Oryctolagus cuniculus: one gene and its partner. The protein of the gene in region 1 interacts with the protein of each later gene in a biochemical or structural test. Links are inferred from orthologs where the notes say so. Each region holds a gene or a part of one and is shown on either strand. Other genes may lie near its edges.

Evidence for each region.
Region 2: the proteins of ERBIN (region 1) and ARHGEF7 interact in a test that uses a peptide from one of them, tested with the Homo sapiens proteins (2 studies listed by BioGRID and IntAct). The link is inferred for Oryctolagus cuniculus from reciprocal best matches to the Homo sapiens genes ERBIN and ARHGEF7.

Annotation. Positions count from the first base shown.
Region 1 is NC_091445.1:86,858,465-86,873,690, forward strand, and holds the start of ERBIN (erbin), read left to right. Parts: upstream 1-7,948; 5' UTR 7,949-8,210; intron 8,211-8,241; exon of another isoform or gene 8,242-8,415; coding exon of another isoform or gene 8,416-8,418; intron 8,419-8,779; 5' UTR 8,780-8,885; coding exon 8,886-8,891; intron 8,892-15,226. UniProt on the Homo sapiens protein: Acts as an adapter for the receptor ERBB2, in epithelia. By binding the unphosphorylated 'Tyr-1248' of receptor ERBB2, it may contribute to stabilize this unphosphorylated state.
Region 2 is NC_091440.1:2,000,502-2,015,064, reverse strand, and holds the end of ARHGEF7 (rho guanine nucleotide exchange factor 7), read left to right. Parts: intron 1-4,613; coding exon 4,614-4,713; intron 4,714-5,287; coding exon 5,288-5,342; intron 5,343-6,679; coding exon 6,680-6,802; 3' UTR 6,803-8,455; downstream 8,456-14,563. Other genes in the region: TEX29 (testis-expressed protein 29), read left to right, coding at 14,053-14,110. UniProt on the Homo sapiens protein: Acts as a RAC1 guanine nucleotide exchange factor (GEF) and can induce membrane ruffling. Functions in cell migration, attachment and cell spreading. Promotes targeting of RAC1 to focal adhesions. May function as a positive regulator of apoptosis.

The DNA of each region.
Region 1 (15,226 bases):
TTCTTTCTTTCTTTCTTTCTTTCTTTCTTTCTTTCTTTCTTTCTTTCTTTCTTTCTTTCTTTCTTTCTTTCTTTCTTTCTTTCTTTCTTTCTTTCTTTCTTTCTTTCTTTCTTTCTTTCTTTCTTTCTTTCTTTCTTTCTTTCTTTCTTTCTTTCTTTCTTTCTTTCTTTCTTTCTTTCTTTCTTTCTTTCTGACAGGCAGAGTGGACAGTGAGAGAGAGAGACAGAGAGAAAGGGCTTCCTTTGCTGTTGGTTCACCCTCCAATGGCCGCCACGGCTGGCTGCCGCGCTGTGGCCGGCGCACCGCGCTGATCCTATGGCAGGAGCCAGGTGCTTCTCCTGGTCTCCCGTGGGGTGCAGGGCCCAAGCACTTGGGCCATCCTCCACTGCCTTCCCGGGCCACAGCAGAGAGCTGGCCTGGAAAAAGAGCAACCGGGACAGAATCCGGCGCCCTGACCGGGACTAGAACCCAGTGTGCCGGCGCCGCTAGGCGGAGGATTAGCCTATTGAGCCGCAGCACCGGCCTAGGTCAGCATTTTTTAAAACAAAATTTGTAGCTAATTTTTAGAAAATAATGTTCTTTCCAAGGGAAGAAAGTATGGGCATTAAAATATATCTGGAATTATTTGGCTTTATTTTAAAATTTTGTATATTTATTTGAGAGGCAAAGAAACAGAGACGGGGGCGGGGGGAGAGTTCCCATCTGCTGGTTCATTTCTTGAGTGCCCGCAATGGCCAAGGCTGGGCTTGGCTAATGCCAGGAGCCAAGAACTCAATTGAGGTCTCCCGTGGGGGTGGTGGCAGGAACCCAATTACTTGAGCCATCGCAGGTACTTTCTAGGTCTACAGTGGTAGGAAGTTGGACTCAGGAACTAGTGCTAGATTTCCAACCCAGGTACTCTGTGGGAGGTGGGTAACTGTAAATGCCCACCTCTAACATTATCTTAGAAAATCCAGTTGACAAAGATCATTTTCTAAATACTGATCAGGAGCTGCCATTGCGGTCTAGCGGGTTAAGCCATAGTTTTTGACACTGGAATCCCACATGAACAACGGTTTGAGACTTGGCTGCTCCACTTACATTGCAGCTCCCTACTTGTGAAAGCAGTAGAAGATGGCCCAACTGCTTGGGCCTCTGCCACCCATGTGGGAGACCCAGATGAAGTTCCAGGCTCTTGGCTTCAGCGTAGCCCAGCCCTCGTTGTTGTAGCCATTTGGAGAGGAAAGATCTCTCTTTCTCTGTGTCTCCCTTTTTTTCTCTAATTCTGCATTTCAAATAAATTAAAAAAAATTTTAAAAACTGATTAAACAAGATTTAGATGAGATTTATCCGGCATTCTGGTGATTATTTGGTAGTCTTTGATCAAATAGATAGTTACTTTTACTTTGAAATAGGAATAATATGATGCCTAACTAAAAAAGAAAGTTCTCTTGTAATATAGCTGGCTTGCATTTTAGAGTAAGGCATTACCCTTACTACACCTCAAATTATGTTTAATACCCATATATCAATATTAACACTTTCATATTATTTATGCTAACTAGTTTTTAAAAATAAAATGCTATGGGAAAATTTAATTAATTTATTTAAATTTATTTGAAAGTCAGATAGAGAAAGAGAGAGTGAGCTTTAATGTACTGGTTCAGGCCCCAAATGCCCACAACATCCAGGCTGTATCAACTGAAGCTAGGAGCCAGGAACTTAATCTGGGTCTTTCACATGGCTAGAAGGCACCCAAGTACTTGAACCATCACCTGCAGTCTCCCAGGTACGTATTAAGTAAGATGAACTCAGGAACTGGAGCCAGGACCCAAACCCAGGTACTCTAATATGGGATGCACGTGTCCCAAACTTCGCCTTAACTGCTGTGCCAAATGCTTGCTTCCTCAAATAAAGTATCTTAAGTGTGGGATTAAATGAGTAGGAAAAATGCAATTTTGTTACCCAAAGAAGGTTACCATTTGCTATGATGTGGAATATGCATATTGTAATATGATAGAAATAAATTTTGATTCTCACTAGGGAGTACTGGAGAAAGGAATGACTTGGAAGAAGGCAACAGAGTTGAATATTATTAAGGTGACTATTTGTCCAGTTGGGCTAGGACAGTCCTCATTTACATTTGTTGCTTGTATAGATTTCACTCACAAGGTATCTTAGTTTGGATGATGGACATTAGTTGTTTTAGGAAGGATGGCACATGGGGGCCTGCGCTGGGACGTAGCAAGGTAAAGCCGCTGCCTGCAGTGCCGGCATCCCGTGTGGACACCAGTTGGAGTCCTGGCTGCTCCACTTCCAATCCAGCTCTCTGCTAAGGCATGGGAAAGCAGTAGAGGATGGCTCAAGTGCTTGGGTCCCTGCACCCATGTGGGAGACCTGGAAGGGGCTCCCTGCTCCTGGCTTCTGATCTGCAAAGCTCTGGCCGTTGCAGCCATCTGGGGAATGAACCAGTGGATGGAAGACCCCCCCCCCCCCGCCCCTCTGTAACTCTGCCTTTCAAATAAATAAATAAATCTTAAAAATTTTTAAAAAGATGGTACATGTTATCATGCATGGCATGTATTATCAGTGCATTTAAATTGCACTACGAATAATAGCTGACAGTTTTGAGTGTGCCAAGCACTGTGCACAAGCACTTTATGAGCATTGCCCCCTGTTGTTCTCTCAGTAGTCTACAGGGTAGTTTATAAATAAATAAATGCTTATGTCTCCCATTCTAGAGCAAAAGAAGCTCAAGTTCATGTTCATACGTGTTCACGAACTTGTCCAAAAAAGTCAGCAGCGAAATTTCTAATTCAAGCAGTTTTGTTTCAGAAGTCACACAAATAACATTATTTATTTTTCAAAAATGTATAGGACAAAAAAAAAAAAAAGAAAACATGTATAGGACATCTGAAATAAATTTAACCTTAACAGTTAACAAAAATGTACAGGATAGAAAAAAAGATTATCAAGCTTACACACCAGTCCTTCCCCCTACCACTGCTTATATGCAGTTTTGCTTTTATAGTTTCAGTTACCCTCAGAAAATCATGGTCTGAAAATATTAAATGGAAAATTCCAGAAATACACTTCATTAATTTTCAAGTTTATACCATTCTGAGTAGTGTGCTGAAATCAACCTACTCTGTCCTGCCCAGGACATGAATCATCTCTTTGTCCAGTGTGTCTGCACCGTATATGCTACCCAACCATTAATCACTGAATAGCTAAACTGGTTATCAGATCCACCATTGAAGTATCACAGTGCTTGTGTTCCAGTAACCCTTACTTAGTACACCAAAGCTATATCGCAATGCTTATATTGTTCAACTCCATTTTTTCATGTAGGCATTGTATCATCTCATATAACCTCAAGTTGAAGGCTAAGGACAACATAAGATATTTTGAGAGAGACCACATTTCACATAATTGTTATTTTTTTTATTTTATTGTTAGCTTTATCATAATCTCTTACTGTGCCTATATTTTAACTAAACTTCATCATCGTATGTATGTGCAGGAAAACATATATATAGATATGTGTGTGTGTGTATATATATATATATATATATAGTTCTTTGTCACTATCTGTGGTTTCAGGAATTCACTGGAGTTCTTTGAATGTGTCCCCTGCAGATAAGGGGGGAGAACTACTGTACTAGAGGAAAAAGATTTTAAAACTTTTCAGAAAGTTTTGCACAAATAGAGGCAGACTTTCCCTGTGATTCATAAAATAACACTGAAAACATGCTTGAAAGGTAGAACCACGGGAGCGTAACACTGATTCCTGCACGGGTGCTTCTTTTCACGCCCAAGAGTCTCCGCTCTCTAGCCTACCCTCCTACCCTCCTGGCAGCTCTGGCAGTGGCTAAGCTGAAAGTGACACAGGACATCACATTCCTATTAAAAATACATGGTACAATGCATCTTGACCTATTTGATCCAATGCTTCCAGACTTCTTTTGAATCTAACACTATTCTAAGTTGAAGATCTATTTTCCACAAACACCGCTTTGATAAAACCTTTGGCTTTAGGGGTTGAGAAAAGGAGAAAAGAATTGTCCCACACCTTTCCTTGCCTTCTGCTATCTTTTGTTTGGCTGGCATGTGTCAATGCCGGGGGACCCTTTTCAAGCGTTGTTTTTCGTGATTTGAGGGGCAGAGAGGGAGAGAGAGGGACGCTTCCATCTGCTGGCTAACTCCTTACATGTCTGAAACAGCTGAGACTAGCTGGAAGGCGGGACAGAAATTCCAACCAAGATTCCACATGGGTGGCAGAGACTCAGCTTGACCCATCACCTGTCACCTGCTGCCTCAGGGTGTGCATTAGCAGGACTCAGGAGCTGGAAACAGAACTCAAACCCAGTGTGATAGGGGATGCAGGTGGTCTAAACAGGTATCTTAAGCACTAGGCCAAATGCCCGCAAAACAGTAGATTGGCCCTTTCTTGGGGCTCATTCCCCTTAGTGGGTCCCTTGAGGCTTTCCTCCACAGGAAGCAGCTTACCTGCATCAGACAGTAATGACTTTCCTGAGCCCAGCCACTGGGAAGGAGAATCCCAAAGAAAAGATTCCCTTTCCCAGAGAATTATTTAGAGTCCCACAGTGGGGAAGATGAAGATGCCCTATCAGCAAAACATCTATTAGCTCGCTCTCTAAGTTGGTCCCAGATATCACTCAATCATTACAGACTCATAGGCAGCCTTGTTGAGGGTGCAGGGTGGGGGTAGGGGATTCAGCTCTTGTTTTGATCATAACCAAAAAGTTGAGTCCATCTTAGTTCAAGGTCCTATGGGAGGGTTTTCAACGGAAACTATTCAGTACAAGTATGGAACAGGAACACTTTGTAAAGAAGAACCAATGGAAGATTTAGCTGTATCTGTGTGTGCTGTTCATATGAATTATAACTAAGTAGTCAATGATGAGTAACACAAATGAGTCATTATTTCTGAGTATTGGATGCCTTGATCATATAACATCATTTCACTCTTCTGTATGAACACCAATGCAGAATTCAGAAGGGACTGCCAGCAAACCAGCTCACAGAACAGACAGCTCCTGATAAGTGTTTCCTGGCTTCCATCCTCTTAATGCTGGAGTTTGGGTAAGAGCAAGTTGGACGTAACAATCAAACGAAGGTTATTTCATTAACTATTCGCCTCTACTTTCCAAATAGTGCTCCAAGGAATGAAATCACATTTTCTCCTCTTATCTATCTACTCAGCATCAGCATATGTTCTCTCTACTTTTCCTTACCATCAAAAGCTGCTTTAGGGAGACCATCTGATGAATTAGGGATAAATAGGGCTTAAACCATTACTTTTCCTGGGATTATGGCTTTGGAGAAACAAACTACTCAAAGGGATAAAACTCTAATGGCAGAATTTCAGGTGAACTGGAGAAGGGGTTTTTGGTTATAGAGACTTTCTAATCCCAATGGTAATTAGCCAAGTTGATTCTGAGTGTTAGTTTAAGTCAAAAAGGCTAGAATCAGGGCAATCCTTATCCTAGATGTGGACTGGTCTTCTTTATTTAGGTTCTGGGGAAGGGTGTTAAGTTTATTTGTATCCGTGGTATCACATTTGTGTGTGGGGGGGGGGGGGACCCTGGAATGCCAAAGTCCTGCTGGTTGCTCACGGGTATGGGAGTCACTCCATCCTGGTATGCTTTAGGCGGGTGACATTTTTAGTTCAGAGCTATGCCACTAAGTTCTGATCAGACTCATTAGTTTTCCAAAGTGCGACAATTAAAAATAGCTTGTATAATATGCTAACTTTAGCTTCTTATGCAATGGTTACGATTAATATTCATATAAAATAGATACCGAGCTTGGTGTTACTAGCATACCTGCCTGCTTGCCATTCCTTAGCTTCCAGTTTATGCTCTAGCCTCTCTGTTTCAGCACTAAATGTACCTGTACATTTTGGTGCTAATTTTCAACTTAGGCTCTACACCAAGGGACTAATACCTGTGTCAATGCCAGCAGTTCTGGGAGCAGTGACAATGTTCCCATCCCTTAAAAGCTGACCGGAGTTATCTCCAGTGTTTGTCACTTGTGCACAACTCATTTAGGTAAGTAATTCTTTGTGCACTTTATGAATTCTTCCCTTTGGATGCAGGCCAAGAATTGTCTGTAGGGCATATAGCTCTTTACTCAAACTTGATAATAAGCAATTATCTCTGGAATACAGACGGAAGACCTGAACCAGTGCCTCCGGGGACCTGGGGCCCAAAGCACCATCGCTGTACACAGTGAAGCAGAGCAGAGGCGGGGGTGGAGGGAAGGTCTCCCCGTACCCATTCCGCTCCTCCTCCGGGTAAAACAAGGCCGTCTGTCAACATATTTAATGCGGCAACTGCAACAACTGTGCAATATTATGGCTCACGCTCTCTATGCCGTATGTGTTGACAGGACGCTAAAGAGTCTCTCTCTAAACGCAAAAGCCGCCAGGATGAATTACGAGGGCCAGCGCAAGCCAACCGCTGCGCCACCGAAACCACTGGGCTGGGGAGCCTGCGTCGCCTTCAGAGGGCAGCCGGCGTTTCTTCTAACAAAGGCGCGAGCTCGAGGCAATTTCGCGGGCCATTTTCCCCCGGCCAGCGCCAGCTTTGTCTCCGCGCCGGTGCGAGGCCGAACCCTGGAGGAGCCCCAGCTGCGCGGCGGGGCCAGCGAGCGAGCGAGGGCTGGCGTGGGAAGCTCGGCTGGGCCGCTGCGGCGGCGGCTTGCAACCCGAGCGTGCCATTACAAGAAGTTGGAGTGCAGCGGCCGCAGCGGATACCTGCTGCCTGCAAATCGGGGCTGGACTCGAACAGCCCCCGGCGCACCGGCCGCTGTGTACAAAGAAACTCAACCGGCCAGCGCGGCGGCGGCGGCCTGAGGGCTCTGCGTTCCCGGGCCGAGGTCGGCGGCGTCGTCTGCGTTCGCCACGGGCTGGGGAGCCGGCGTGCGCGGGGGGTCACGGAGCCCGCAGGCAGGCCCCCGGGGACCGGCGCCCGAGCGGGCCTCACGCCGCGCCCGGCACGCGAACCCGCGGACGGCGGGGCCCCTCCCCCCAGGCCCCGCCGCCCCCCGCCGCCGACGTCGGCCGCGCGGCCCCCGCGCGCGCGCGCGCGCTGACTGGCTCGCGCCGGCCTCCGGCCCGGCTGTGGGCGGTTGGGGCGCAGCCCGCGGGAGGCCGCCCCGCCCCCTCCGCCGCGCGGCCGCGCGCAGCCTCTCCCCCCTCGCCGGCGGGGCGGTGGCGCCGTAGCCTCCGCCGCGGCCTGCGCGGCGGTCACTCCCCTGCGCCCCAGCCCCACTCCTCCTCCTCCTCCTCCTCCTCCTCGTCGCTCTCCGCTCCCTCCCGCCGGGCCCCTCCCCTCGCCGTCTCTCGCCCGAGCGAAGGTGGCGCGGCGGCGCGGGACGCAGCCTCGGCCCCCGCCGCGGCCCCGCGAACTCGTGAGGAGGACCGGGCTGCCGCCCACCCCAGCCCCGCGCCCCGTGCGGCCGCCGCCGCCGCCGCCGGGGAAGAAGCAGCAGCAGGGGAGTGGCGGCGCGGCGGCGGGAAAGCGAGAGGCGGGCGAGCAGGGAACGCTGCGAGGAACGGACAGAAGGACGGCCGGCCCGACGAGGGCGCCGCCATCGAGCCTGCCCGGCCCCTCGGCTCCGGGCGGCGGCGGCGGCGCGGGCGAAGGGCGCGGCAGGCGCTAGCGAGACAATAACCGGCCGCTCGGCTCTGGGGGCGGCGGCGAGGAGCAGGGCCGGCCTAGCGCGGCCGCGGCCCGCCGAGCGCCCGGGCGGCGTCTCGGCCGCCGCCGCCGCCGTCGGGGGCGCGGGGCGCGCGGGGCCCGGCCGACGGCGCCTCCCCTCCCCCTCCGCGGCGCGCGCGCTGGGGTTCCGGGTTCCCCTGGACGGAGCTGGCTCCTGCCTTGCGCCGAGGCAGGAAGTGAGTTTCGCACGGCAATTCCGGGCGGTGTCACGAGTGAAAAAGTTTTTTTTTTTTTTTTTTTTTTTCCTCCTCCTCTCGGCGGAGATCCTAGTTGGGGCTGGGAAACTCCTGCAAACTCGAGACCAGGAAGCCAGCCCGCATCCCAACCCCCACCCGGGCAGCCTACTCTGCTGCTGCGGGCGGCCGCTGCACATCCGTTCTCACCGGAGAGACTCGGCTGGATGCGAAGTGACTAACGCGGGCGAGGGAATCATGGGCAGCGAAGCCTGGAAAAAGCAGCCCTGAGACGCCGTCCGGCCGAAAGGTAATTTTCGCGAGAAGCGTCTGGAAGACACACAGTGCACGGACCGGAAAAGGGGCGATCCTTTTGCCCAAGTTTCCGTCAGTTCTTTGCTCGGATCGGAGCGCACAGTGTTCTAGGTGGTGAAGTGGGAGAGCTGTGTGTGTTTTGTTTTGTTTTGTTTTTTAAGCCCCGGTCTGCCATCTGGGCTGTGGTTTGTGTAGAAGCGATGGTAAGAATGCAGTGGGACGGGAAGTTTGGGCCGCCTGGAGAAAGAGTGCCTTTGTTGAGCGCGAGCTCCAGAAGTTTTCGTTTTCTGGAGCCTCTGCGAGGTGTGCGAAGCTCCTGTCTGGCGACTTGGTTGGGAGGAAAGTTCCGTCGATTTGCGGCTGTTGAGATGGCTGCCGCGTTTGTTTGTGCTGATAGCGATGGTTTTGGCTTTGGAGTTCATCGCGCAGAGACTGTTTTTGGTTCAGAGCCTTGTTGCGTCTAGTTTATTGGATTTTAGGGACAAGCAACTTTTTGCCAGCTTTAGTTTTCAGGGCAGGTAATGTTTTTTTTTTTTTTCACGTGTGTTAACTTGTCCTTTTCAGGTGTTGACTCCTAAAATATTTCCTTCATTAATTGAAAGCAAGCGTCTGCTAGACTTTTCTTGTGACTGAACCATTAGGATGGAGAAGGAGGGAGTGAGGATTACAGATGAAGGTGTGTAATTAAAACGCAGCTTGATTTGCTCGGACTGCCGTGCAGGTCAGCACTGACTATGTAGGGAGGGAAGTAAAACGCTTCAAAGATTTTCTTGGGAACCACACTGATTGGGATATAAAAAAAGCTGTGCCTTTGAATACTAGGATATTTAGATTTTTGTGTTGGCCCAAATGTTTCGTTCGGTTCGGCCTAATAAGGGAGAGGAACTTAGTGTGGGGCAGGACTCCGTGAAGCGTGACAGACCTACTAGCAGCAGGCAGAGCTCTGAACACCCCTGAGCCAATGGGTAGACTTCCTAGAGTCAACGCGTTTGGGTCATGGCAAACCCACTCCCTGCTTTCAGCGGCGTTTTAGTGTCTTAAGTTTATTTTTTTCCCCAGTACTTTTGTGGTAAAGGTAGTGAAAAAATATTGTATTTGTGAGTAAATGCTAAGAAAATATGATCATCTGTGGAATCATTTTAATATAAATCGATGCCTAGTTTATCAAATACTAGCAAAGTAATTACTGTAAACCCCAGGAGAAAGAGCTGACTTCCGTTCAGAGAGAAAAGGTAAATTTTAAAATCAGGATCAAATTATTTCACAACTTGATATTTGCTACTTCGTCTTTTAAAAGTACTTTTCAAAATGGGAGACTTTTAACTGTATTGCTTTGTTTTTTTTTTTTTTCTGAGAGTGTGATTTCTGTTTTTTTTTTTTAATTGTGAACCATCATATAATTCCTTTTAAGCCAAATTAGCCTTATCAAGGAATTTAAAGTGCACAGCTGATCTACTTTATGAATTCAGACCATGTATTAGGCAGCAAAGGAGGTTGTTGTTGGGCATCTGAAAGAATGGAACAAAATAAATGACATTGAACTTCAGTTTCCTTATATGGTTCATACTTGGCCTCAGAGCAACAAAGCCATAATAGAGCAAGTTTGACCCAGAATTACCACTTTACAAAGGTATTTGTGTTCATAAATTTTATGTAAAAATTATTGTAGCACCTGATAATGACTAAACACCTGATTTTTGATAAAGTTCTTGGTTTCCCCCCTCCTCCTGGAGAAGAATGGTATGTTTGCAGGCAGGCAACACATTTTTAAAAATGAGGTGTTAACTTTTGTAATTATCTTTGGTTCCTTTTTACCTCTTAATGATGCATAACTTTCTTTGTGGTTTACTTAAAATTCTGTTACTTAGCATTAACAGACTAAATTTTAGGTTTTGCACTGTTGAACTGTATATTCCAAAATTTTGTTTAAAATGTGAGGTTTGAAGAGATGTTTAGAAAAGCAGTCAGTTAAAATATTTTAAGTGACTTCAGGATCTGGGTATTCTTAGTGTTGTATAGACTTTCTTAGGATAAATTATGTGTTTACTTATTTGCACAGAATACAATTTAAAAGATATGTTTGTTGAAGGTAATCATGAGTTTTCAGAACTTCCACCAATTCAAAGTACTAAGTTACAGAATCACTTTGCCGCTTGAGGTTAAACTGTAACAAAAATTTATGTATAAAAAGCTTACAGAGGTTCAAATATGGGAGCCAGATTTTCATTGTGTGCTGTTAATTAAGTGATGACTATAGAGACGTATCATTGGTAAATCACTAAAATTCAGTTACTTTTGACCTTGATGATGTTGAAGTATTGGTAATAAATGATAGCTTCTTTTTTCATTTTTCAAAGATTTTATTTATTTGAAAGGTAAAATTACAGAGAGGCAGAGAAGTCTTCCATCCACTGGTTCACTCCCCAAATGGCTGCAGTGGCTAGAGCTGGACTGATCTGAAGCCAGGAGCCAGGATCTTCTTCCAGGTCTCCCACTCTGGTGTAGTCCAAGGACTTGGGACATCCTCTAATGCTTTCCCAGGCATACTGACAGGGAGCTTCTTCTGAGTCTCCCACATAGGTGCAGGGGCCCAATGTCTTGGGCCATCTTCTGATTTCCCAGGCCAAAGCAGAGAGCTGGATCAGAAGTGGAGCAGCTGGGACTCGAACTGGCGCCCATATGGGATCACAGCCAGTACTGCAGAGGTGGCTTGCTATGTCACAGCGCCGGCCCCCTCTATTTTGTTTGTAAAACAGAGTTACAGAGAGGCACAGGCAGAGAAAGCGAGATCTCCCATCTGCTCTTTCACTCCCTAAATGGCTGCAATAACCAGAGTTGGGCTGATCAGAAGCCAGGAGCCAGGAGTTTCTTTCCAGTCGCCCACATGGTACAAGGGCCCAAGCACTTAGGCCATTTCCTACTGTTTTCCCAGGCCATAGCAGAGAGCTGGATTGAAAGTGGAGCAGGGGCTGGGACTGTGGCACAGCAGGTAAAGCCGCCGCCGGCATTGCCGGTATCCCAGATGGGCGCTGGTTCGAGTCCTGGCTACTCCACTTTGAATCCAGCTCTCTACTGTGGCCTGGGAATGCAGTGGAAGATCTTTGGGCTCCTGCACCTGCGTGGGAGACCCGGAAGAAGCTCCTGACTCCTGGCTGTTGCGGTCAATTGGTGAGTGAACCAGTGGATGGAAGATCTTCCCTCCCTCCCTCCCTCTCTGCCTCTGTGCCTCTCCTCTCGTTGTGTAACTCTTGACTTTCAAGTAAAATAAGTTAATGTTAAAAAGTGGAGCAGCTGGGACTTGAATCAGCACTCATGGGTGCTGGCATTGCAGGTGGCATTTTTACTCACTACACCACAGCACTGGCCCCTGGCTTCCTATTTTTGTAGTTAGGTTTGTTTACTTCCTCTATTTTTCCATATTGGTCTCTTGTTTCTTATTTGTATTTTTTTTCCTCTCTTTTCCAAACTTTATCAGACTATGTTTTTCCCTTAAATAAACTGTTCATAACATGCAGTATAAGTGTACTTAATCAGCCCCATTTAATTCTTTTTTTCTTTTTTAATATATTTATTTGAAAAGAGAGGGAGAAGGAAAGAGAGAGTGAGGGATCTGTCCCCTGGTTCACTCTCCAAATGACTGTGGTGGCCAGGGCTGGACCAGGCTGAAGCCTGGAGTTTCATCCAAGTCTTCCACGTGTACGCAGGGGCCCTGGGGCCACCCTCTCCTGCTTTCCCAGGCATATAGTAAGGAGCTGGGTTGGAAGTGGAGCAGCTGCATGGGTTGCTGACATCATAGATGATGACTTAACCCATTGAATTCTGAATATTCTTTTTGCATTCCAGCTCAGTGTACATAACTGTAATTAAGCTTGATATTAATGTATACTTTTTTATTTGAATTTCATTTTTCAATTATCTTGTTCATCCTTAATGTCCCCAGAATTAACTGTTTCGGTCATATCAGGTCATATATTCTTACATGTTAAGACCCTCTATAACCCCCTTCTACCTTATGCTTTTGATCTCTTTAAACATACAAACACTGCTCTGCACTTTCCATTTTCCTTTTTGCTCCTGTCTCTTTTCCTACCTCTCAAGTTGGATGTCTTTTTTGTCTGTGTCTAAAATTTACAGTTGTCTTCTGCTTTCATGAAATAAGTGCACTGGAACTCTGTCACATTCTTTATTGTCACTTCAAATTTTGTTCCTGACACCATGGGTAAAGACCTTCCTTACCAGTCTTTATAATTGAAAGTATATGACATTAAAAAATATCTGAAACTTAATAAAATAAGCTACTTATCTGGATATTATTTATACATCTATGACTTTAGATATATATAGAGTGTAGTAGAGGGGCCACACTGTGGTGTAGCAGATAAAGCCACCACCTGAAGTGCCAGCACCCCATATGGGCACTGGTCCTGGCTGCCCGGCTGCTTCATATCTGATCCAGCTCTCTTCTATGGCCTGGGAAAGCAGTGGAAGATGGCCCAAGTGCTTGGGCCCCTGCACCCATGTGGAAGACCTGAAAGAAGCTCTATTGTGGCCATTTAGGGAGTGAACCAGTGGATGGAAGACCTCTCTTTTTCTGCCTCTGTAACTCCACCTTTCAAATAAATAAAATAAGTAATTCTTAAAAGAATGTAGAAGAACTAGAAATACCTTAAAAAGGACATCTTAAGTGATCAAAACAAGCATAATAAAGTCTTGAGCATTATTCATAAATATATTATTCGAAGTCCATTTACTTTTGTAGTGAGGTGTTTCTTACCTTTTTGGTGTCTTGGAAGTGATGAGAAAAGTAAATTAACTGCATTATAAGATTGTGAAAATAAGACATGATAGTAAAGTTATAGAAAAATGGAAGGCAAATGGAATAATTCAGAAAATACAGATGCTCTTAACTTGTGGCAGGGTTACATCCCAGTAAACCCATTGTAATTTGAAAGTACTGTTAAGTCAAAAAGGCATTTGATACACCTAACCTGCCAAGCTTCATGAGTTAGCCTAGTCTACCTTAAATGTGCTCAGAATTCTTACATTAGCCTATAGTTGTGCAGAATCACCTAATACAAGCCTATTTTAGAATGAAGTGTTGGTCATCCTGTGTAGTTCATTGAATACCTGTATGCAGAAAACTCTGGTGACACAGTATTTTGTAGAATGTTGGTTGTTTCTCCTCATGATTGTGTAGCCAGCTGCTGTGGTTTACTGCTGCCCAGTGTCGTCAGAGATTATTGTGCTGCATGTTGCTAACCAGGGAAAAGATCAGAATTCAAATTTTGTTTTAAAGATTTTATTTATTTGAAAGAGTTATATATAGAGAGGAAGAGACAGAGCTTCTATCCACTGGTTCATTCCCCAGATGTCCGCAGCAGTCATGGCTGGACCAGGCAGAAGCCTGGAGCTAGGAGCTTCATGTGAATCTCCCACGTGGACGCAGGGACCCAAACACTTGGGCCACCTTCCTCTGCTTTCCCAGGCCACTAAAGGGAGCTGTATTGGAAGAGGAGCAGCCAGGACAAAAACCAGCGCCCATATAGGATGCTGGTGTCCCAGGCTGTGGCTTTACATGCTATGGCAAAACCATGGCCCCAGAATTCAAATTTTGAAGTGAAATGTATGGCTTTCGCACAATCAGAGTAAAAAAAAAATAAATGATAGGTCAGAACATCAGTAGAATAGTCTGGGACAACTTTGAGCAGAGTGCCTTACATATTTCATTTGCTTGTTGGAGGATTCATTCCGTTACGGTGTAGGAGCCCTAAGGCCATTGTTCTTACACATTTTGGTCTTAGAATCCCTTGATACTTTTATAAGTTATTGAGGACTCCTAAGAGTTTTGGTGTATGTGAGTTATCTATCAGATTTCTTTTTATTAGAAATGAAAACAAATTTAAAAATTAAATATTACAAGCCACTGCATGTTAACATTGTTTTAATAAGAACTATTTTGCTAAATTAAATATGGTTGTTCCTGATATCTGTGCATGGTTGATTCCAGAACACCCTTTCTATTTGGGAATAGCAAAATCTTTGGATGTTCAAATCCCTTATATAAAATGACAAGGTGGGCTGAGCTTTTGGCCAAGAGGTTAAGATAGATACCTGCATCCCATATTGGAGTGCTTGGAGTTACCTCTTTACTCTGGGTCCTGAGTCCAGCGTCTTGGCAGTGCAGACCCTGGGAAGCAACAGGTGATGACTCAAGTAGTTTTGTCCTTGCCCCCCACAATGGAGGCCTTAATTGAGCTCAGATCTCCTTCCCTGGTCAGCTCCGGCTGTTCAGGCAATTGGGGAGTGAACTAGCAGGGAGAAACTTAATATCTCTGTCTCAAATAAAAATTAAACAATACATACAATGGCACAGTATTTGTATATAACCTATACCATTCCTCCTGTATACTTTGAAACTTATCTGCATTACTTATAATAGTATGTCAATACTCGTAGTTGTTATCTTGCATTTGTTTAGAGGGTAGTGACAAAAAAGAAAATATTGCCCATTTTCAGTACAGGTACATTCCCCCCTGCCACATTGTGTGGAAAGGGAGGAATATTTTCATTGTCTTTTTAAAAATCTATTTATTTATTTATTTATTTGACAGGCAGAGTGGACAGTGAGAGAGAGAGACAGAGAGAAAGGTCTTCCTTTGCCGTTGGTTCACCCCCTAGTGGCTGCTGAAGCTGGTGCACTGTGGCCAGTGCACTGCGCCGATCCGATCCGAAGCCAGGAGCCAGGTGCCTCTCCTGGTCTCCCATGCAGGTGCAGGGCCCAAGCACTTGGGCCATCCTCTACTGCACTCCTGGGCCACAGCAGGGAGCTGGCCTGGAAGAGGGGCAACCGGGACAGAATCCAGTGCCCCGACCGGGACTAGAACCCCGTGTGCCGGAGGATTAGCCTATTTAGCTGTGGCGCCGGCCCATTTATTTATTTGAAAGAGTTAGAGAGAGAGAGGAGAGGCAGAGAAAGAAAGGGGTTCCATCTGCTGGGTCACTCCCCAGTTG
Region 2 (14,563 bases), on another chromosome or scaffold:
CCGCTGGAGATTGCGTATTTTTACACCAAGTGGCAGAAGCAGGAAGTTGAGGCAGGTGCGTGCAGACTCGGCCCAGTGTTGGTCTGCAGCATAGATGGGGTTTATCTGTGGTGCAGCCAAACAGCAAATGGAATTTTTGGAGAAATGCAACTTAGAAGTTTATATATTCACTCCAGACCGCACTATGGATTTAGAAGCGGCTGTGTTTTTATGTCACATAGGACAGCCATCTTTTCTGATCCTGACCGTGGAGTAACTTTGTGTGCTTAGGAACTGTAATAACTCGTGCACTGGCTTAGACGCCTTTGCCTTGCCTTAGTGAGCCTGGCCCCCCGACGCCCCGTGCTGGCTGCAGCACAGCACTGAGGTGCAGTCGCTGCACTTGGGTTTTCTTAGTGCTAAGTATCGTTTGGTTGTCTGACAGAGACATTTTAGTGAACTCCTACACACCAAAGTTCAGACAGTTTCCCATCATTCCTTTTTGTACCAGTCAGAACCATCCCGACGACGGTTTCTGTTGAGGGTAAGATCACCACAGAATACTAGCGTGAACTTCTCTTCATTTGTATTTGTTTTGAGTGTCTGGCACCATGAGCTTTTGTGACCTGGTGACAAGTTCTTGTGCTCCAGGTCCAGAAAGACGTCCCCGGGCGGCCGTGGAGCCGGGCGGCCCGAGGGCCGTGTTTCTGCTCCGTGGAGCTTCGGTCCTGCTGACGAGTGTCCTCTGTTCATGCAGTCCTGTGGTTGCTCCGTGGGCAGCCGGGGTCGCGCCGGCCGTGGGGCGTTGCCGCCGTTGCCGCCGAGCGAACACTGGCTGCAGGAGGACCCCAGGCTCTCTGCGCTGCGTGTTTTGCGTAAAATTGCAATACACAGCGATGTGTACATAGTGGCATCAGATCTGGAACAGAAGTCTGTATATACTGTGCTCTCTGTCTGTGACTGGGAAAAGCCATCTCTAGTACCTGACTCTTTGAAACCCGACTGGCTGTATATTGAATGTAGCATTGCATTGTACAGTGTGCACATTATCGTCTGTGGTTGCTATGACAATGAAGTGTTTGTTTTATATTTTAAAAAGACATCTGTCATGTACAGCTGGAATAAATTTTGCATTTGCTAGCCTGTGGCTTTCCGTGTTTGTTCGTGGCGGGAGGGAGCAGCGCAGCTGCAGTGCCGTGGGGTCGGCTTCGAGGCGGCCCCGGCTGTGCCGCGCTGTGCCGCGCCGCGCCGCGCCGGCCACCCTCAGCCATCCCCTCCTCCTTTTTTTCTTTGCTTTTTAAAGCGAATCCTCAGTCACCGGGAGGTTTTCTTCAGAAAGATGCGTCATTGTCTTTTGTGCGTAAGTGAAAAAGCGGCTCTTCCAGCGCGGTTTTGTTTCTGGAAAGTGCACGTCCAGCTGGCCGAGAGGTGGAAGAGGAAGCCAGATGAGAGGGAGAGCAGCCGGGGCAGGCGCCGGCCGCAGCCGCTGAGCGCTCTGGGGGTGCCGACTCGGGGTCCCCGCTCCTCCGACAGTGAGTGAGGGTCCTCCGCGCGAGCAGCAGCGTGGCGTGGCCCAGGGACGTCCGCAGGGATTCTGAGAGTGACCTCCCTTTCAGTCGTGCGAGCTCGGAGCAGGGAGGTGCCGAATGCAAGACGGCTTGCCGGCTTTGCCACACGTGCACTTGACTGCTGGGCCGAGGGGCGGATGCTCCCTTTCTGACAAAATGACGCTCTTTAGGCTTCAGCACGGGCAGACTCACGCACGTGTGCCCGCACGCCACACGCGTGCCCAGACCGATCTGTCTGCGGGGCTTAGTTGTGAAGGTAAGACGCGGGCCCCCGAGCTCCGGCGCGAGGCCTGCTCTGTCGCTGCCTGGACGGGACACGGCGTCTGAAACGCAGGTGTTTGGTTCGAGCTGTGCTTCCCAAACCAAGGCCCAGGTTCTTGCGGTGCCTCCGGCGTGTCCCCAAGCGCTGGGTCACGTCTGTGAGGGAGCGAGCGCCGAGCCCATGCTGGCCGGCGTCTCTGGATGAGCACGGTGAGCGGGTCCCAGCCTGCAGGCCCCTCCTGGAGTCCTGTGGCTGAAGTGCGGGCTCGGGTGTGAGTGCCCGTCACTGTGTGTCATTGCTCCCGCTCCCTCTGTCGGGGAACCGTGCCAGCCACGGCCAGCCAGCGGTGTGGCGCATTTCCGGCACGTCTCAGACCACGGCCCGAGAACCACGAGGCGTCCTCGGTGATGCCGGGAAAGAGAAGGCAGGATAGAGAAGGCCGAGTTAGAGTTCCGTGCGTATCTCTGGGCGAAGCTCACCAAAGCCTGGACCGTGCTGAAGCGCCTCGTGGCTCTCAAGTCGTGGCCAGAGGACACCACGCTCCCGGAGTGAGGCCGTGAGTCCTCTTGGCCCCTGGAAACCAGGGTTTGGGAAGCACAGGCCTCGGCCGTGCTGGAGCCGTCGGTGCGTGAGCACCTGCTGGCTCACCGGCAAGCCTGCAGCTGGCGTTCCCGCGCCCGTGCGACTCGGGGCCTCTGCCCGCAGTAGGACGCCCACAGTCGTCCGTCTTAGGGCCGCTCTGTTGTCATCAGAGTAACAGAACAACACTCAGGCGCCCGTCTCTACACAGGCTGGTTCCCGAGTCAGCCGTGCTACACGTGCACATTCACGGCTTTAGTCCCTGTCAATCAGCGCGGGGAACCTCCAGCCTTTGTCACTGGAGTTAATCGCGTATTGACAGCATTATTTAGATTGATCCTCGGGGGAGCTCCACGGTTCACCCGCTGTGAGGTGGGGGCTGGGTGGTCAGAGGCGGGCTCGCCCGAGGCGTGCAGGGCGCCCCTCGCTGCCCCGGGGACGTCTGTGGTCTGTCTCACTTGTCGTGGCAAAGCTGTAGTGCCAGGAAGCTAGAAGAGCCAAAGACGATGGAAACGTGTGGACTTGGGTGCACCCAGAGTGCATCTCCCGAGACCCTGTCCCGCCTGCGTCCTGTCTCCCCTGCGTGAAGACGCGGTGCAGGTTTGTGGGGTGGATTCGGAACTAACGCGCACAGCCTCAGCCGTCTGGACCCAGCCTGGACGGCGGGCAGCGGCTGCGGCGCGTTTCCCTCACGGGCAGTCAGGGAAGCGCTGCTCTCGGCGCATGTGCTGCGGACGGCTGGGTCTTCACGAAGCCCTTCGTGTCTCTGTGGGCCGGGGGCCCACGTGTTGATTCTTCCTCACACAAGCATCGCCCCGGGGGCCCACACGTCCCCACGGCACGGGGCCTGGGAAGATGCAGGCTCATCTCGTGCGGCTTCAGGGGGCCCGGGGTACCTGGAGGATACCCGGCTCCCAGAAGGGGCATCACCCTCCCCCCGGTCTTGCAGACCCTGTCTGAGACCCTGGGGAGACTGAGCTGCCAGCCAGAGGGGGTTCTTGAGCCCCGTTCCCTGAAGTCAGCCCCGTGCTGGGGTCGGGCTGGGGCTGGGGTGTGGCCTTGCCGGGCTGCCAGAGCCGCTGGCCGGCAGAAGCCAGTCGTGCACCGTGGTCATGCCAGCGTGAGCAGGAGGGCCAACCGAAGCCTGGACCTTGGGACCCCTGGGTGACCAAGGAGGGGCCGGCAGCCTCTGCTGCCTGAACGAAGTACTTGTGTCGGGAGGGTGGGGCCGGGAGACCTGCCAGGGCCAGTCCCTGTCCCTTGGTGCCACTGTGGGAGTCTGACGCTGCTTGCGTTCCGAGGAGAGCAGGCTGACCGCAGCCGCGGGGGATGCTCGTGGCCGTGAAGCCGTGTCTGCACAGCGCCCTCGGCGTCCGACGCCGGGAGCATGAGGCAGCCTGGAGGAGCAGAGCGAGTCTCCGCCTGTGAGTGCTTTTTCCTGGAGCAGCGTGGATCACAGCCCCGGGCCGCCTCCCGCAGGAGACGCCGTCTTCCCTCCAGCCTGTGTCTGGCCTTGTGTTTCAGAACTGCGGACGGTGTGTGTGGTCTCACAGCTGAAATAAAAAACCGCTGCTTCCTTGCCTCTTACTAAGACTTGGTTTTCTTCCCTCCACTTTGCAAATGAGTGTCAGAGTCTCCCAGTGCGTCTCAGCGGCACAGATCCGCACCGGAGCCTGCCCGAGGTCGGCCCGGGCAGGCTGCGTGCTCGGGTGCCGGCGCTGGGATCCTCCGGTGTTGTGAACAGCGTCTTTCATGTAGAAGAATGTGTATGTGTCCGGGAATAATAAAGTTTGTGTTAAAAAACCGGCTGCCGAGTGTCGCCTTTTTAGACACCGCTGTGATGTTGTCTGTAGTGTGCAGTGTGCCACTGCCGGGTGCTGAGTGGCAGGCATGGGGGGGAGGGGGTGTTGTCGGGTCTCGTGCGTCGTCCCGAGATTCCTGGGAGAAGGTGATGTCTCGGAATTTGTGACCTATGCAGACACTTGTGGTCAGAGCCTGTGGAAGGCCCCTAGTGAGGTTCAGGGACGCAGGTTTATGCATGTGACTCCCGGAAGGGCGGCGTGTGTGGGTGCGGGAAGGGCGTGCGGAGAGCCGCCTGTCTCGGGGGTCTGGGGGCGCAGCTGCTGGAGGTAGCGTCTGAGTCATGCTGTATAGTCAAGTTGTGTCGCCCAGCTGCCGCGTGGCGTTCACCTGAGCCGTTCTGTTTTTTATTTTCCCTACCCTAGGTTCACGCAAAGAATCTGCTCCACAAGTTTTGCTTCCAGAAGAAGAGAAAATTATAGTGGAAGAAACTAAAAGTAACGGCCAGACGGTGATGGAAGAGAAGTAAGACGTCTCCGCGTTCCCACTGCCCGTGCGGCTCGGGGGCGGAGGGCCAGTGCGGGCTGGGGCTGGGGGGCGGTGGGCCAGTGCCGGCAGGGGGCTGGGGGGCCGAGGGCCAGTGCGGGCTGGGGCTGGGGGGCGGAGGGCCAGTGCTGGCAGGGGGCTGGGGGGCCGAGGGCCAGTGCGGGCTGGGGCTGGGGGGCGGAGGGCCAGTGCGGGCAGGGGCTGGGGGGCGGAGGGCCAGTGCCGGCAGGGGGCTGGGGGGCAAAGGGCCAGTGTGGGCAGGGGCTGGGGGGCAAAGGGCCAGTGTGGGCAGGGGCTGGGGGGCGGAGGGCCAGTGCGGGCAGGGGCTGGGGCGCCGAGGGCCAGTGCTGGCAGGGGGCTGGGGGGCAGAGGGCCAGTGCGGTCAGGGGCTGGGGGGCGGAGGGCCAGTGCTGGCAGGGGGCTGGGGGGCCGAGGGCCAGTGCTGGCAGGGGGCTGGGGGGCAGAGGGCCAGTGCGGGCCGGGTGCTGGAGGGGTCTCCCCAGGCCTCTGCCCCCCCAGCCAGGCTGATGTCCTCATTCTTCTTCTGTCACAGGAGCCTAGTGGACACTGTGTACGCGTTGAAGGATGAAGTCCAAGAACTGAGACAGGTATGTCACTGTTGGTTTCGTGTGCGCACACATGTGTGTGTGTGTGTGTGTTCAATGGGAAAAAAAGGAAAAGCCCTCTGCAGATTAAAAAAAGGACCACGAGGAGATGGTGTCTGTCGCATCCGACCAGTGCAGCGGTGGCTCTGGGCGTGTGGCTGGGCCCGGTGGGAGCTGGGGCGTGGCCCGTGGGGACACTTTTGAGCCGAGGTCTGTGCTGTCGGAAGCCATCTGTTGGGATAATTTAGAACTCAGATCCTGCCCCCGAAAACTCCATGAGGTCCCTGATTCGTCTGTGCGGGCACATGGGCCAGTCAGCAGCATGTGTCACACTGGCCAGGGGTGGTATTGATGTGTATATGTGTGGTGTGTGCATGTGTACACATGTGTGCGCGTGTGTGGTGTGTACATGAGTGGGGTGTGTGATGTGCATGTGTGGGGTGTGTGCATGTGTGGTCTGTGGTGTGTGTTCACGTGTGGTGTTTTCACATGTATGGTGCCTGCACGTGTGTGGTCTCTGTGTGGTGTGTGCAGCGTGCACATGTGTGTACATGTGTGTACATGTGTGTGAATGTGGCATGTACACGTGTGGTCTGCATGTGTGCATGTGTGGCCTGTGTTCACACGCGTGTGGTCTGAATGTGTGCATGTGTGTACATGTGGTTGTGTGTGGTCTCTGGTGTGTTCACACGTGTGTGGTCTGAACGTGTGTGCATGTGTGTACATGTGGTTGTGTGGTCTCTGGTGTGTTCACATGTGTGTGCATGCATGCGCTGTGTGCACATGTGTGTGCATGTGTGGTCTCTGTGTGTACGTGTGTGCATTTGATGTGTGCACACGGCCTGGGTTCCCTGCAGAACCTGGAGAGGGAGGGGTAGGGGAGGTGAAGGCGGCAGCGACGCCGGGGCCGGGGTACAGGGTCCCTGTGGTCAGCCGTTCCCAGGGACGTCCATGGCATTCCCGGCCGCTCCCCGCCCGGTGTGACCCGGCAGGTCTCAGCCCCAGCATCCGGCCCAGCTCTGTGTGCTCCAGGCGCGTTTCAGTGCCGCGTGGGGCCCAGCTTAGCCGCACAGGCGGGCTCGTGGCCGCCCCTGCCCCTCGCGTTGGTGACTGAGGGCCTTGTCCTCGGGGGGTGCCGGGGCCAGAGCTGTCCACCACATCGTCGTGCTGCGTGGACTAGGCCTCGGGCAGCCCCGGCTGGGTTTCAACTGCCGAGGCCCCGGTCCCCGAGAGTGCGTGCGGGGAAGGGCAGCCCCGGCCGGGTTTCACCCGCCGAGGCCCCGGCCCCGAGCGTGCGGCTGGTGGCTGAGGCTGAGCGCTGTGGTGTGCCCGGCCCCCAGGACAACAAGAAGATGAAGAAGTCCCTGGAGGAGGAGCAGCGGGCCCGCCGGGACCTGGAGAAGCTGGTGCGCAAGGTGCTGAAGACACTGAACGACCCGGCCTGGGACGAGACCAACCTCTGAGGGCCGGCCGCAGCGGGCCGCACTCGGGAGGCGCAGGCGCCCAGGGCCCCCGGCACCGCCTCCTGCCGTAAGTGCAGAACCAGTGCAGAGCCCGGCTTCCCAGACTGTTGGGATGTGACGGACACGCGTGCCCTGCACCTCCTGCCCCCGACCGCGGACCTGCGTGCTGCGACTCCCTCCCCACACGCCTTCCTGGCGGCCTGCACCCCTGCCGTGCGCCCACAGCCTGACCTCAGACCCTGTGCGCAGGCGCTGCAAGCCCGCGGAGCGGCCGCCCAGAGACCCGGCCCCCACGCCCCGTGGGCTCCCGGGCTCTTCTGTGGCCGGTCTGACCACTCCACGCTGCACGGTTCCATCCTCCCCCGAGAGTTCCAGCACTTGTAAATAGAATGTGTTATTTATTGTGGCCCCAGCAGAGGGAGGCAGCCGGCCTGGCCGCGACGCTGGGAGCTGCTCCCAAGGGCGGGCTCTCCCTCCAGGCTGACTGGGCACAGCCCCGCCCGTGCGAGCCGTCCCCTCGGCAGAAGCAAAGCAATACACAGCCCAGTGCGGCTCAGTGACTGCAGCCCAGAGGCCCCACCGGGGCGGGCAGGGCAGGGAGCCGGCCTCGCCCAGCTCTGCGGGCCTTGGGCCTGGGAGGCTGTGGGCGCTCCCGGCCGGCTGTCCCCTCTCCCTTGGCAATAAGCAGTGGTGACCCAGGGCCTGGCCGGCCTTTCCCTCCTGTGTCGGAGATGACGGAACCTCCCGCAGAGCAGTTGTCGTGTCTCTAGAGACCTGTGTGACAGCGGACGAGACCGCGTGACTGCGCCTGCTGAGCCCTGCCTTTGACCCGGCAGCCTGGGGGTTGGTTCTGTCCCCGCACCCCTGCTGACGAGGGCACCTTCTCCTGCCCCAGCCCTGCGGCTGCGCGGCCCCTAACCCGAGTCGCCAGCGCTCTGTGTTGGCGTTTTCTACCTGTCTGTCTTGTCTTTTGGTGAGCTGCTCTCCCAAGCGGCTTTCTGGTGTTGCCCAGGACGTGCGGCAGAGGCGGGGGCTGTGTGCCGGCAGAGCCGCTGTGCCCAGCAGGCGTTAACTCAGGAACAACTGCCCCGCCCCCCGTGCCTCTGCCAGCCGTCAGCTGTGGTCTGTGGCCGGGGTGGGCCCCTCCAGAGCCTGCCTTAACCGGGGAGGAGGGCCGGTCCGTGTAAAGCCTCCCCTGAGCTGAGCCGCGCTCACCGTGGCGGCCGTGGGCCCAGCGCCTCCTGGATCAGAGACGGGTCTGCAGGGAGGGCTGCCCTCTGGTGCGCGGCCCTGTGCCTGTCGCCCAGTGACCTCCGGAAGGGGAGGAGCTGGCGTGGACGGGCAGGGGTGTGTGGCCCACAGCTGTCCCTGCGGCAAGTGAGGCCGGGCGGGCGTCTCTCCCTGCACGTGGGAAGCACTTCCTCTTGGAACCGGCGTAGAGATGTAGCATCCGGGACTTCCCGGGCCCCGGGCACCTGCCTGGGCTTGTCCTGGACTCTGTCCATGCCAATCATTCTCTCCACCTCGGGGACCTTGGACGGCATGGAGCAGCCCCTCCTTGCTGTCACAGACCATGTCCTGGTGTCGACTGCTACAGTGTTCGCGCTGCGTTGTTGGAATCATTAAACTCGTTATTTTTCTTATGTCACAAAACGGTCCTCTCGGTTGTCTTTGGCGAGTCTGACGCGTGTGTGCCGCCCTCGCTGTTGCCGTTGGCTTTTTGAGATCTGGAAGCTCCGGTGTGGGTTTTGATGCCAGAGAGATACCGCTGCCGCCTGAGAGTGTGGACGGGAGACTGGGAGACGGTGGACGTCCAGGCGGCTGGGCCTTCGCGGGGGTGGCTGGGAGACGGAGGACCGTTGCTCGGGTGCCGGTCATTCGGCCAGGGCGAGGTCCTTCCTGAACGGTGAGCGGCTGCAGTGCCGCCCTGCGCCCGGGGTGGCCCAGAAAACCCTGTCCTGCAGGGCCCTCGCTGCCGGGGCCGTCATCTTGGAACATGGGCGTCGGCGGGGGGCTCGGGAAGTGCTGTGGGGATGCCTCTGCCGGCCTGGAGGGGCGTGTGTCGCCGGCCGGTCTTCAGACGACACTGCCGCTTGCGTCTTTCCCGGCGTCCAGGGGCCGGCAGCCACGTTCCCCCAGGTGCAGCAGCGAGGCCCAGGTGGGCCGAGAGCCCGGGCCAGCCCCGTCCTGGCGTCGGCCTGGGTGTGCTGGTGATGGAGGCGCGGGGAAGGATGGCCACGGGGACCCGGGACCCTGCGAGGTCTCTGTGTTCCCCGGGCCTGGCCGAGGTGCCCTGGGGACCGTCTCATCGCCAGCCCACAGGAGGCCAGCGTGGAAACTCGGAGGTTCCATGGTGTCAGGCACGCGAGCGGTCGTCTGGGCTGTGTGCTGGTGAGGTGTCCAGCGGCTGGGCCTTGATCTTCCTGCTCGTGGAGAAGACCGGGACGTCCCACGAGGATGGAGAAACTGCTGTCACCCCCGAGCCTTGTCCTCACCCTGCAGGGGCCGCCGGTGCCGAGCGAGCGAGTGCCGTGGCCTGGCGTGTGCGTGTGCTTGCACGTGTGTACACGTGTGTGTGGGTGCGTGTGCACGAGTTGTCTGCACCGCAGGCGTGGCCGTGTTGGGCCCTTCCACTCTCACTCCCTGTGGGACTGGCTCGGTGGCTCTGAGAGGGACGGCCGCTGTTGCAGAAACGCACTCTGACCACCCTGAACACGCAACCCCAGGTGTGCCGGCCTGTGGCTCGGGGTTTCGTCACCGCTCGGGACATCCGGGCCCCATATTGGGCGAGTGGTGCAGGTCCCGGCTGCTCCTGAGCCAGTGTCCTGTGAGTGCGGCTGGGAAGCCGTGGAGGGTGGCCCAGGGGCCTAGGCCCCGCCCCCACGCGGGAGACCAGGGTGGGGCTCCAGGCTCCCAGCTTCAGCCTGGCCCGGCCCTGGCCGCTGTGGGCCTCGGGGGAATGAGCCGGCAGGTGGGAACTCTCTCTGCCTTTCAGATAAAATGGAAACAAATAAAAAAAGTGAAAGGCCTGTGTAACCGTGAGACCGTAGCTGCATGGTTACTTCCAGAAACGTCTGCTTTAGGAGCCACGTCCTGGACAGTCCAGGTGCTCGGAGACGGGGACATCCCGGGGTCGTTCAGAGACTCTGAAAGGAAATGGAACTGAAAATGCTGCTTTTGTTGCAAAAAAGTTGAAATCCTTTAGGGTTTTCACAAGAACGTGTTTTTGATGAAGTTTTCCGAAGACCTCTCTTACGCATGGATTGCAACATCACCTGCACCAAAACCAAGTTTCAGCTCCGCGTCCCAGGAACTCTGCACTGCCCTGTAGGCGCGGCCCGAGGCGTCCTGCTCTGCCGCTCGCTCGGGCTGGCGCCGTGGACGCCTGGGGTGGGCCATCGGGAGGGGCGGGCTGTGACCTGTGCCCTCCTTGCCTCCGGCTCTGTCCTCTGAGAATTACCGGTTTGCAGCGACAGATGCCAGCCCTGGGTGTGCAGCCGCGCCCTGCCCAGCCCTGCCCTGCCCTGCCCTCAGTGTGCAGCTCTGCCCTGCCCAGCCCTGCCCTGCCCAGCCAGTGCTTGTGCAAACACACAGGGCTGTGTGGGCCGCCTTGCCCCCAGCTGCTGGCTCATGGTTGCCTCAGCTCCTGGCTGTGGAGACCACTGGATGGGTGTGACCCGGGGGTCTGCACCGTGTACATCTCAGGCAGGAGGGGTGATGGAGTGAGAGACCCAGAGGATGTGGTTTTGTGCCAAGAAAACAAGCAGTGGCCCCGAGGTCCAGCAGCCCTCTGTGCGGACGAGGCCGTGATTCAGGTGCACAGTGCTTCCAGAACAATCCGCGCACACAACTGCACGGCCACTCGGCAGCTCTGGTCCTCGTAAACCCAAACACACGCCCCCTCCCCCGGCCTGCCGCTGGCCTCCCCTGTGGGCTGCAGGGGAGAAGTGGGAGCGGGGTCTTCACCGGGGTGGCACCGGCTGTCCGTGGCGCCTCAATGGTCCAGAACGAGGCACGGGCGGCCCACGCCCCTGCTCACGTCTGCATCCTTGCAGGAGGAGCCTCTCCCGCCCCTCTCCCCTAACAGCCAGATGGAAAACACGCTGGTGACTCTGCAAATGTGAAGGTAGAAGCAGGAAAAACTGCGTACAGAGATATCCAGGGGAGATGGAGTTAGAAGTCTATTCTGGTATAAATCCACGCACAGCTTTTCCGTAATCCATGCTGGCCGTGAGCTTCTTGAAGACCCCCAAACGTAGTGACAGATGGGCCGACGCGTGGGTGGGCAGGACAAGCTCTGCTTGTGAGACGAGCGCGGCCCCCTGAGGCAGCTGGTGTGTGGGGTGCACACGGACCCCCTTGGCCCGGAAGCGCTGAGTTCTCGCCGTCTCGTGCACTTTCTCAAAGGCACTGGGCAGAGGGCACTGCCCCGTGTCGGGGTGGGGGCCAGGGTCTGGTGCCCTCTGGGGTGGAGCCAGGGACCAGAAAGACTGGAATCTCACAGGTCCTCTAAGGGGAGTCCTGGTGGGACATGGCTCCGTCGCAAACAGACGTGGAAGAAGGCGGGGGCCTCCAGGGTGTGTGTGTGTGTGAGAATCTCCCGTCCACCCCTGGAAGAGCGTGGACGAAGAGCCCCGTGGAGCTGCCGTCACGGAGCTGTGCCGTGGAGTGTCCGTGGTCAGTGCAGTGGGAAGCGGCTGTGGTTTTGGGGAGAAGACAGGAAGAGTAATGCAGGATTCAGAGTCTGGGTGCATGGCAAGGGGTCACTGCAGGGGGGAGGGACACGGGGAAGGCAGGGTGGAGGGCAGCGTGGCTCCACGGGACACACGCCCAGGCCTGTGGTGGGGGCTCCACTCCAGCTCAGGGTGGGGAGGTGGTCGTGGGCTGACCCAGGCTCGCCGACCACCTGGGTGACCCTGGGGCTGCCACACAAGACCAGAGATGGCAGGCACAGCACGTTCCGAGTGAGGGCTGCGTTTGCAGAGGGGCGGCCCCGATGCGGCGGGATGCCGGCCTGGGACCACGGGCACCGTCTGTGTGCTCCAAGTCGGCTCCAGGTGGCCAGAGGGCCCCTCGGGACCCTGGGAGGGCGGCGTGCAGCGCGCAGGCCTGGGGCTGCCTCGTGCCTGGCTCCGGTCAGCCCTGACCCTGGGGACGCTGTCTCCCAGGATGCCACTGCTGCCCCGTCTGAGGTGTTGCTTCTGTTTGTGGCCTGGGGCCAGGGCTGTTCCTCATGTGCACATCCAGCCACAGTGGACAGGGCTGGGGACTCCGAGCCATCCACAGGTGAGCTAGAGAGGGGCGCTGGCCCTGGGCTCCAGGCCAGCTCGCGCCAGCTTACACAAAGCAATGCTGGCATCCGAGGGGTCCTGAACCCTGAGGGAGAACTGTGCACGGAGGCCAGCTGAGCTTCTGAGGTCCTGGCCAGGTGGCCCGACGGCCAGGCCCAGGGCCCTCGGCTCTGTGGAAGGGAGGCCCCTTCGGCTGGGCGGAAGCAGCAGGTGCTGGGAGGTGACCTCAGACCCGAGTCGCAGCTTTGGTCTTTGGTGTCAGGGGAGGCAGGTGTCACTCACAGTCTGGATTCCCCTGGAAACTCTGAATGAGACTGTGTATCGGAGAGCTGTGTTGTCGCTGGATCGCCAGTCACCCTGGCTACCAGACACCCTGCGTCTGGGCGAGCGTCCGCATCCCGGCTGTGGCTGAGGGAACCCCCCTGAGAATCGTGGCCTGGACCTGGTCCTCACCCCACGCCCAGGGCCCCACGCCGACTGCCACTGTCCCATCAGCTCGCTGTGTCCGGCTGTGCATACCCGGAGGGACTTGGCACTTCCTCTCCTCTCCTGCCCCCAGGACGTCACCCCCCCCCACTGTCCGTCAGTGCGGTCACCCTCCCCTGGTTGACTGAGGTGCTCCTGCCCTTTGTCTCAGCGTCCTGCAAATGTGGCAGTGGACAAATCAGCAAGCAGCCATGAGGGCCAGCCTCGCCTCACAGCTGTGCCTCTGACCAGGACGTCAGAGCTCGGCTGGGTAGCTGCACCCTTGCCCCTCCCAGCCACGCCGACCTTGTCCCCTCCGCTCCTCTGCTTCCTCACTGTCATGTGGCTGGCACCCGGGTCACCCCACGTGGTGCCGGCTCAGCCGCCACACGGCCTCTCAGCTCGTGCAGCACCAGGGCCAGCTCGTCCCCTCGAGTCTCTGCTCTGCCCCCTGCCGCCGGCTTCCAGACCAGCTACCACCCAGCGCAGCCCTCAGCCCTCAGCCCTCAGCCGGGGATGGGAATGGATGACCCGTCCACCTGGCACGCGTGCTCGGACATCCGTGTCCCCCTGCGGCACACAGCCCCAGGCTCCTGGCCCGTTGGGCTCACTGCCGGCTCGCTCTCTCCCCACGCCCGTCTGTGAGCCAGCCAGCCACCCCCCGCACAACAGACAGCAAGCGTTGGCTGCTGTCCCCTGGTCCTGGCTGCCCCGGCCTTGCCCTGGACTGTGCCGACGCCGCTCCTCCTGCTCAGGGGGTTCCTCCGCGCAGCCGCAGTGGTGCTGGTAAGCATGACTCCTCCTAAAACCCCTTGCAGCTCCCGGCTGTGCTCTGAGCGGAGGCCCAAGTCTGGGCAGTGCCCATTGGGTTGCTGCCTCCTCACTCAGGCACCACGGGCCTCCTCTGCCAGCCCCAGCCCCGGCCCCCAGCACCCACTGCCCCCACCGCCTGGGACACGCCTCCCCCATGCATGACCTGCGCCCTGCTCCCTGGCCAACTCCAAGCCTCAGCTTTCTCCCAGCATCTGCAGATGGGCCCCGGGCTTGTCTGCTGTGGCCCCTACCCTGTTCTGTTCACCATCCCCTCCCAGGGGCAGCTGGAGAAACGGCACAGAGATTTCAGAGGCTGGGGCCTGAAGGCAAGCTGGCCCTTGGGGACTCGGGCTGGGAGGGCCTCTCCCCCAGCCCTCTGTGACGTCACGTGACTTCACGGGGCTGTGTGACGTCATAGCAGGCAGGGCCCTGGCACTGCTGCGCTGGCCCTGAGCCGTGGCTGGGGCTGGCAGGAGGTAGCCAGTTTCTGGTTTTATCAGACTCGTTCCCTGCTTGGGATTTGACTGAGAGGAAGACCCAGCAGGGCAGCAGATGTGCAGGTGGGCTGGAGGGCGGGAGGGGGTGCCCTGGCCAGGCCCACCCTTGGCCATGCCCGCAGCCCCGCACGCCTGTGTTTGTTTTCCAGATCCGCCTGAGCTGGGGCCCCCCTCAGCCGCCGCGATGAGGTACGCCCCGGAGATAAAGAAGTCACCGCCGCACCTGCTCAAGAAGTTTGCAGGTGACTGGCGATGCCGCGGGGGCGGGGGGGGGCGGGGGGGGCAGGGGGGCATCGCCGTCCTCTCCCAGCCTGCCCACAGCGGGGGGGGGGGGGGGGGCAGGCATGGGAATCCCAGCGCTGGAGAGCTTCGCTGTCTTTCTCAGAAGCGCCGGCCGAGCACCAAGGCCGACTTCGCTTCTCTCCCGGGGTGGGAGCAGAGCCTCTTCCCAAGTCGCCTTCTCCTCCTGAAGGGAAACGGTTCTCAGTGGGGACGCTGCCCCTGCTCCCAGTGTGGGCTCGAGGGGAACTGTGGGAAACAGGATGTCTTCCCACCCAAGGGGCGGGGAGGTTCTCAGTCCCCAGGCACGTGCAGTGCCGGCTCCGGCCGCACAGGCACCTGCTACTCGGGAACCCCTCGCTCCCGTGCGCGGGGCCCCTCGCAAGGCAGCAGGTGCCTTCCTGGGCTCAAGACCC